2 linked regions of the Xenopus tropicalis genome follow. The protein of the gene in region 2 binds, or shares a complex with, the protein of the main gene of each other region. Links are inferred from orthologs where the notes say so. Each region holds a gene or a part of one and is shown on either strand. Other genes may lie near its edges.

Region 1 (4,085 bases), on a different chromosome or scaffold from region 2:
TAAGCTTACAAATGTACCCAAGTTCAATATAAATCCAATAAATAGGGCTCTAAATACATTGTGGCACATTGACCTTTACACTCGATCCTACCTACTAAGATCTTCAGAGCAGCTGTGGAAAGGGGTAGTTACCACCTGTACCAGTTAAACTCCTGTATAGAGAACAAACTCCTTCTCTTAGCATATTACATAGGCAGCATTGTGGGATAGGGTGGGGTTAAATTATACATATGTTGTTATTTTCCTTTATATCTCTATAACTCTCTTGATTATATTTTTGTATTAAAGGAATGTGCACAATGCATTTTTGACACAAGCCCTACTTATACTTAAAACAGACTTAAGGCTTATGATCACAGACACTACTTGTGCACAAAAAAGAGTGAAGGTCCACATACACGGCCCGACTGTAGGCCATGTAGGGGCAGAAACAACGGTCGGGCAGGTTAAAAGATTTAGTCGGACCGGGGACCGCCATTATAATTCAATCATTTGGCCCCAGGGATCAAATTAGCCTACATGTTCCCCGATATCTCCCCCCCCGTAGGTGGGGATATCAGGTGAAGATCCGCTTGCTTGGCGACATCGCCAAGCGAGCAAATCTTCACGTGTATGGGCACCTTTAGTCAGAGTCAACCAGCAATCCTGATGAATCCCAATAGGCCTGTCAAAAGCCAAAACCCTATACATCTCAATTGCAACTGGGATAAGGGGGTAATATAATAATATACCCACGCAGACAAAGTGTCAGTTTAATGTAGACTTACCATTGCTATGTAGCCATAAGTGCGAACAAGCTCTCTAATTTTATGCATCTCCTCCTCCAAGTTGACAGCCCACACCTCACATATCACTTGGCTATTATCTACCACTGCTGCAGGCATCTTGAATTCAGAAAGGTGGCCAGTGAGATGTGTGGTACAGACAGAAAATCAAGCAGTGTTTTCCCCAGACAGAGGTGATGTCTCTTACCTAAAAATTTTAAAATATATACTTTAAGGTTAACTTGCAGAAACCCAAACATATTAAGAATTTGCAATCAAAAGACATATTAAACAATTATAGGTAAGGGAAAGGCAACACTGGGAAACACTACCCTGTTAGCCTTGCGGATGGTGAATACAGGGAAATGTTCTCCTGCCACCATTTGCCTTGCCTTGTATATTAGTATTCTAACACCTGGCAGTATTTATAGTAATACAGTTCATGAAACTGCTACACCACTATAAGTATATTACATATCCATCAGGTGAGTTAGCTGCCTGGGCACATAGATTATTCATCCCATTTGGTCCATTTTTCAACTTCACAATGGTTAGGGTGTGTGGAGTTAATGCAATAAAATATTTAGTTTAATCAGTCAGTTGGCCAAAGCAGAACTCCAGCATCTTTTAAGTAGTAATTTGGCTGATCAGCCACAATTAGGACATCCTTGTTTAACCCCTTTAGATCAGCAACAGAAAAAAGCCTCAGTCGTTTAGATCGCAGATTACTACAATTCACTAAGAAGCTCAAAACTTGGTTGTAGGGGGGCTGCAGTCCAGAACATTTTTTACAATAGAGAAATGCCGGACTGGTGTAAAAAGTAACCTATTGTATTCACTGGGTGTGACTAGCTAATTGGTCCCCACTGACTTTTACCTTACCTTTGGTTCTAATACACAACTTGGGACATTTTTGTTGCAGTGGTTAGCACTTTTGTCTTGCAGCCCTGAGGTCCTTGGTTCATTTATGGACACAGCACTGCCTTATGCTTACAGTGGTTTCCTTCCACACCGCAATAAAACTACAGGCAGGTTAATTGGCCCCTAATGAAAACCGTTGTATGTGAATGTGAAAGTACCCTGGGGCAGGGAATGATGTATAATCTCACTGCAGAAGATGGTGTATAATGAATATTGTACCCCCTATTGTAAAATATAAGGATATTATAAGTCACTGAGAAATGTAATTATATTAAAGCATGAGGTCGAAGGCCAAGTCCTTTTATACAGGCCATTTTACTCTGGGATGACCTCTAATATCCTTCTTTTTTACAACAGAAGTATTTAATTATAAGACACAAGTTTTGGCAACCATGTGGCAGAAATTAAATTGCCAAGCAGCATTTATAAGGATATCATTTACAGGATATGTATGGCTCCCATGTAACAGTACACAAGAGCCATTTTTTTCCTTCACACTATATATTAAACATATATTAACATTGGCTTTGTCATTTAATAATACAGTATTTCTTAAATTCATTGTACATTTATCTACCCCCCTTCCCTTGTGGTAAGATTTCCCTGTTAACAATATAGGAAATGATGCACCTACTGTTGCAAAATATAAGTATATTAGAAGCCAAGGAGGAGTTATATGCCAATTGCTCCTTTATATGTCTATGGAACTTTACTGTGACTCCTAATATCCTTATATCTTACAACCTAGTATAAACTATTCTGACTAAGACACAAGTTTCAGTAAGTCATTCCACAAATTAAAGAACTAAGCACAGATTATAAGTAATGACATTATTAAACGCGGTTTATAAGGATGTTGCCTACAGGCTACCGATGGCTAGCGTATATTAGAAATAAATCTTAAATGTCCATCCTGCAGGTCTCCAGCACATTGGCTGGAAACGGTTTGAGAGACGCTTGCCGGGTACTGTTCGTAGCAGATGCATTTAAAAAACAAAACTCCCCTTAGCCGGCTTTCTGATCAATCTCACCTCCCGGGCTCCGACCCGAAGCAGAGGGCAGCACGAACGTATATCTCCTACTTGTGCGTACTCTACGGTAACGTTCAATGGCTGACTCGGCGGGCGCTCTAGCCACTGCTCTCTATGGTCAGGATCGAAAAGCCAATCAAAAACGCGTTCCGAACCCAGGAAGTCGAGCAAGCGAGGTAGGCCCGGAGCATGCGCAGTTGAAAGGAAACTGAATGACTCTAATGGGCATGCGTGAAGGCTATGCCGCAGCACTGGATTTGCAGAATTCGTGAGGCATTACTATGAACTATGTATTCAAATGCCATTTGTGTTATTGGATTGTGTTGAAGGGGAGGATATTTATATTCTAGAAAAAAGTTGCACATAAGCTCAAAAAGTAAATAAGACGAAAGTGGAAGTAGTTTCAATCATTTTTATTGGGATTTTTTAAACATTATAGCCAAATAAAGGCATTAAAATATTTTCAAACATTAATATTTACATTATGCAGAAAAATAATCTGCAGTACAAATAATAACAGCCGTTGAAAACTTATACATTCAGTATTGGTCAACATATGATAAAATATGATATAATATAATTTAAAATTGTTGGTTAAGAAATTTGTTATGTACACGTATATTTATACCCGTATACTAATCACGCATTGAAAACGTGCAAAACGCGTATAAACTGACACTACTGAGATCCTAGGGGTGAAAGTGGAAGTAAAGCAATTAATAATGCAATTACCTTCACAATTTCCTTTCTAGTAGCCTGGTATGTAGTAATAACTCTAACTGTAGTAACCAAACTTAGTTTTAAAGTATGAATTTGAATATAATATTTGAGAGTAGAATCTCAAAATTATAAATATTGCATTATCATGATATTGCTTCAAACCCTTATTTCCATATAGAAGCACAAGGAAAATGTAAAAATTCTATACATTTACATTACATTGCATTCTGAATCCAGATGCAAAAATGAAGATTTTGAAGTCCCACAGGCTCCACGTTATAAACCCTCCTCATATGGGTGAAGACACACAGAGCTACTAGTAGCAGCTACTTGTCGTGGCTACTAAAATAGACAGTGCTGATCATTTACTGATAACTGTCTCTACGTGTGTTTTAGCAGAGGCAATTCTCAGTATTGTCTATGGCAGGGGATTTTCGGGTTTAGTAGTGCAAAAAAGAAGCTGCTACTAGTAGCTCAGTGTGTCTTCACCCTAAAAAGCATAACTCTCAACTCCCCCAATTTTGTTGGAATTTACCTTTTACCCCTGGGTTTTACAGGTTCTCTGGCAAATTATGTGCAAACAGTCAGCATTTAGCAACTTTAAAAGAGCACTCGTGCATGTGCAGCAACGTTACAGAGAGCGTTACAA
Region 2 (4,089 bases):
CTTGTCCCGTTTACAGCCCCTGAGTGCCATTGCATCTTTTGCCAGTATGCCAACTTTTGACATGTGGGGCAGAGTTATCAAAAGGAAGGGCGCATTATTGCATATTTTTTGCATGGGTTACAATTTTGCACATGTTGCATGCACCCAGGTGTGCTGTGAGGTGGTTACAGTGTCCTTTCTTAACTGGGAATAGTAATTCATTTAAAGGGCGTAAGTCACCTCCGAAGCACTATTTTCTGTTTATAGGTTTTCAAATAGTACATCAGAAATATTTTTTAAAATGTTTTTCAATTTAAAAATTACACTTTGAAACATTTAAAAAAGTCATCTTAACAAATGCATCAAAGCCTATTTATAGTAGAGTGATTGTGTGCGCACAAGTGATTTGTGTTATGTTCCAATAAAACCAGCAGTACAACATCACAGTAAAAGAACACCTACCTCCTGCTTTGTCTGCAGCCATTCTTGAATCTTCTCTGATATAGTGTATGACTCCTTTGTGAGTAAATTCTTTTAATCCAGTCTAACAAGATGGTCCTTCAGTGTTTGCTTGTTCCAATTCTTGTTCCTGAGACAACAAGCAGAAAAAGTTCAATAACACATTTTGGCTGAAAGCAAGGTTCAGAATACTTAGGCTTTTAAATAGGAAGTTCACTTTTAGGGTAAAAAAAAAACAACAAGGTTTTTAGAAGGGCCCTTGCCTGCACCCCCCAAGGAAGGATGATGTCTACTTTCCTGTTAATACGTTCACTGATCTCAACACAAACAAGCCAATCTCTGCACCAAATAAAAACATTTGAGATGTGGGGAGCAGCTGAGAACAAACAGTTATAGTACTTGGCTCATTTGGCGATGCAACAATGATGGTGGTCTCCCTCAGACCAGTGTCAGGCAGCTTGGCAATGCATTTTAATTCAACCAAATACTAAAAACACAGTAATTATTATGAGAGTACATATAAAAAGCAGGTATGGAAGCACATGATTCACTATTGGCTTGGACCTACCACACTAGACACTTAAAAAAAAATTATAATGATGTATCAGTGACTTCCACTTCTGTATCTAATTATTCTAGAGGAATGAGTTCCCTGTCAATGCCAGCACCTTTCCCAAATCTAATTTCACCAATGCTCAAGTAACTTCACGACAGCTTGGTGCCACCACATATAGCCCTGTTGCTGACAATATAAGACACAGGGCTGATCTATTCTCTGACCCATTGCACAGATTGTGCGACTGCTGAGTATTTTCAGAGTTATGCTGCAGGCAACTAAACCAATTGCTTTACAGAAGTGTCCAATGTGCTATTCCTTTATACACATTCACTCTCCTTTACTTCAAGTAAGTGCCCAATGTGCTATTCCTTTATACACATTCACTCTCCTTTACTTCAAGCAAGTGTCCAATGTGCTATTCCCTTATACACATTCACTCTCCTTTACTTCAAGCAAGTGCCCAATGTGCTATTCCTTTATACACATTCACTCTCCTTTACTTCAAGCAAGTGCCCAATGTGCTATCCCTTTATACACATTCACTCTCCTTTACTTCAAGCAAGTGCCCAATGTGCTATCCCTTTATACACATTCACTCTCCTTTACTTCAAGCAAGTGCCCAATGTGCTATCCCTTTATACACATTCACTCTCCTTTACTTCAAGCAAGTGCCCAATGTGCTATCCCTTTATACACATTCACTCTCCTTTACTTCAAGCAAGTGTCCAATGTGCTATCCCTTTATACACATTCACTCTCCTTTACTTCAAGCAAGTGCCCAATGTGATATTCCTTTATACACATTCACTCTCCTTTACTTCAAGCAAGTGCCCAATGTGCTATCCCTTTATACACATTCACTCTCCTTTACTTCAAGCAAGTGCCCAATGTGCTATCCCTTTATACACATTCACTCTCCTTTACTTCAAGCAAGTGTCCAATGTGCTATCCCTTTATACACATTCACTCTCCTTTACTTCAAGCAAGTGCCCAATGTGCTATCCCTTTATACACATTCACTCTCCTTTACTTCAAGCAAGTGCCCAATGTGCTATTCCTTTATACACATTCACTCTCCTTTACTTCAAGCAAGTGCCCAATGTGCTATCCCTTTATACACATTCACTCTCCTTTACTTCAAGCAAGTGCCCAATGTGCTATCCCTTTATACACATTCACTCTCCTTTACTTCAAGCAAGTGCCCAATGTGCTATCCCTTTATACACATTCACTCTCTTTTACTTCAAGCAAGTGCCCAATGTGCTATCCCTTTATACACATTCACTCTGCTTTACTTCAAGCAAGTGCCCAATGTGCTATCCCTTTATACACATTCACTCTCCTTCATGTGGTGTTACTGATCAGAGTAGAGTTCTGAGGTCTAAATAAAACACAAACTAATCGTCAGTGCGGTGTCATCTCTCTCTACTACACGCTTTCTAACACCCCATCTATTTCCCCATGGCCGCCTCTAGAGGTGGGACAGTAGCCCTGGCACTGGTGGATTTTGGGTATTAAGGTGGGCCTGACCGTGTTGAGTTTACTTGAATTACCGCCCCCCATACTGTCAGTGATCTGTGGACTTGGCGAGGGCGATCGCTAGGGTGCCTGCATGTTCCTTCCCTTACACAGCATTCGCACAGCCCAACAGCCCCGAATCCCCTAACGTAGCCCGCACTCTCGAATCGCTACTTACACTTCCCACAAAATCGTTATTGAAGCGTTCTAGCCTCCAACCTCACAGAAAATCCCAAAGCCACAAATCTCATTACGCGAGATTAGCGTCACAATCACGTAAGCGCAATGACGCATGACGCAGCCGCCTTGTGGGAAGAGCAAATCGCCTTAAAGGAACAGTAACACCAAAAAATGAAAGTGTATAAAAGTAACTAAAATATAATGTGCTGCTGCCCTGCACTGGTAAAAGCTGTGTGTTTACTTCAGAAAGTCTACTATAATTTATATAAATAAGCTGCTATGTAGCCATGGGGGCAGCCATTCAAAGGAGAAAAGGCACAGGCACATAGGAGATAACAGATAAAACACTATTGTATTCTACAGAACTTATCTGTTATCTGCTATGTAACCTGTGCCTTTTCTCCTTTTTTCCAGCTTGAATGGCTGCCCCCAGGGCTACACAGCAGCTTATTATATAAATTATAGTAGTGTTACTGTAGCAAACAGACCAGTGTTACCAGTGCAGGGCAACAGTGCATTATATTTTTATTACTTTAAAGCTCTTTCATTTTTTGGTGTTACTGTTCCTTTAACTCAGTCTGTTCTGTATCAAAAGAATAAGGGTTTTCTCACTCTGTATACGTTTGTGTGAGAACGATAAAAGAAAATAAATAAAAAAAAAAGTTTCATATTTGCTTCCCACTGTGCATGCTGCCACTTGGTCTGATAATTTCTTCAAGAGAAGTACTTGTTTCCCCCTGTTACCAATAGTACCTGTCGCCTTCAGAGCCCCTTTTCCCAATTAGATCTAAACTCAAAAAGGTTTCTTGAAACTAGGATGTGAAATTGTCATCATTATTGTTTTTCTTGTTTGTCCCACGTTTAAAGAAATTGTAGGATAAAGCACTAATCATAATTAATTTCACAAATTGAACTGATTAGAGGTCCATTATTTATCTGAAGCATCTTGGGCTCTAAAGGTCCCCATACACGTTTAGATTCACTCGCTAGTATATAGTAATATAGTTATAGTATAGTAATATAGTTATATTTTTTTTTTCTGTGTCAGGCTGAGCGCAAGCATGCAAAAAAGGGGCAAAATCTGCTTTGTGTTCCTGCACTTGGCCAACACAATGGCCCCAGGTGCGGGCACAACAATAAGCTTTTGAAAGGAGACATATCCTATAAAAATTAAGAATGTACCAGTGAATTATAATCCTCTAGATATAGAAGGATTGTGTTTAAAAAGTTGTGTTTCTGACTGTTTTATTGAGAAATTCCACAAAAACCTCACTAGCCCCACCCATCTGTTCCACTTCCTGCTGGCTGAGTTCTCTGGATGTGCAGGGGAGCCGGCGGCCCTCCGTACACTGCACTGTAGGATAGGAACCAATCAGCAGCTAGGCTGACCTGAT

Evidence for each region. The genes of interacting proteins can lie anywhere in the genome.
Region 1: cnot10 (region 2) and cnot8 share a complex: the UniProt entries of both Homo sapiens proteins name them as parts of the CCR4-NOT complex. The link is inferred for Xenopus tropicalis from reciprocal best matches to the Homo sapiens genes CNOT10 and CNOT8.

What each region holds. Positions count from the first base shown.
Region 1 is NC_030679.2:19,855,632-19,859,716, reverse strand, and holds the start of cnot8 (CCR4-NOT transcription complex subunit 8), read right to left. Parts: upstream 2,801-4,085; 5' UTR 2,717-2,800; intron 2,574-2,716; exon of another isoform or gene 2,550-2,573; intron 973-2,549; 5' UTR 885-972; coding exon 768-884; intron 1-767. UniProt on the Homo sapiens protein: Has 3'-5' poly(A) exoribonuclease activity for synthetic poly(A) RNA substrate. Its function seems to be partially redundant with that of CNOT7.
Region 2 is NC_030682.2:50,188,935-50,193,023, reverse strand, and holds the start of cnot10 (CCR4-NOT transcription complex subunit 10), read right to left. Parts: upstream 2,801-4,089; 5' UTR 2,694-2,800; intron 2,646-2,693; exon of another isoform or gene 2,626-2,645; intron 2,547-2,625; exon of another isoform or gene 2,528-2,546; intron 569-2,527; 5' UTR 464-568; coding exon 442-463; intron 1-441. UniProt on the Homo sapiens protein: Component of the CCR4-NOT complex which is one of the major cellular mRNA deadenylases and is linked to various cellular processes including bulk mRNA degradation, miRNA-mediated repression, translational repression during translational initiation and general transcription regulation.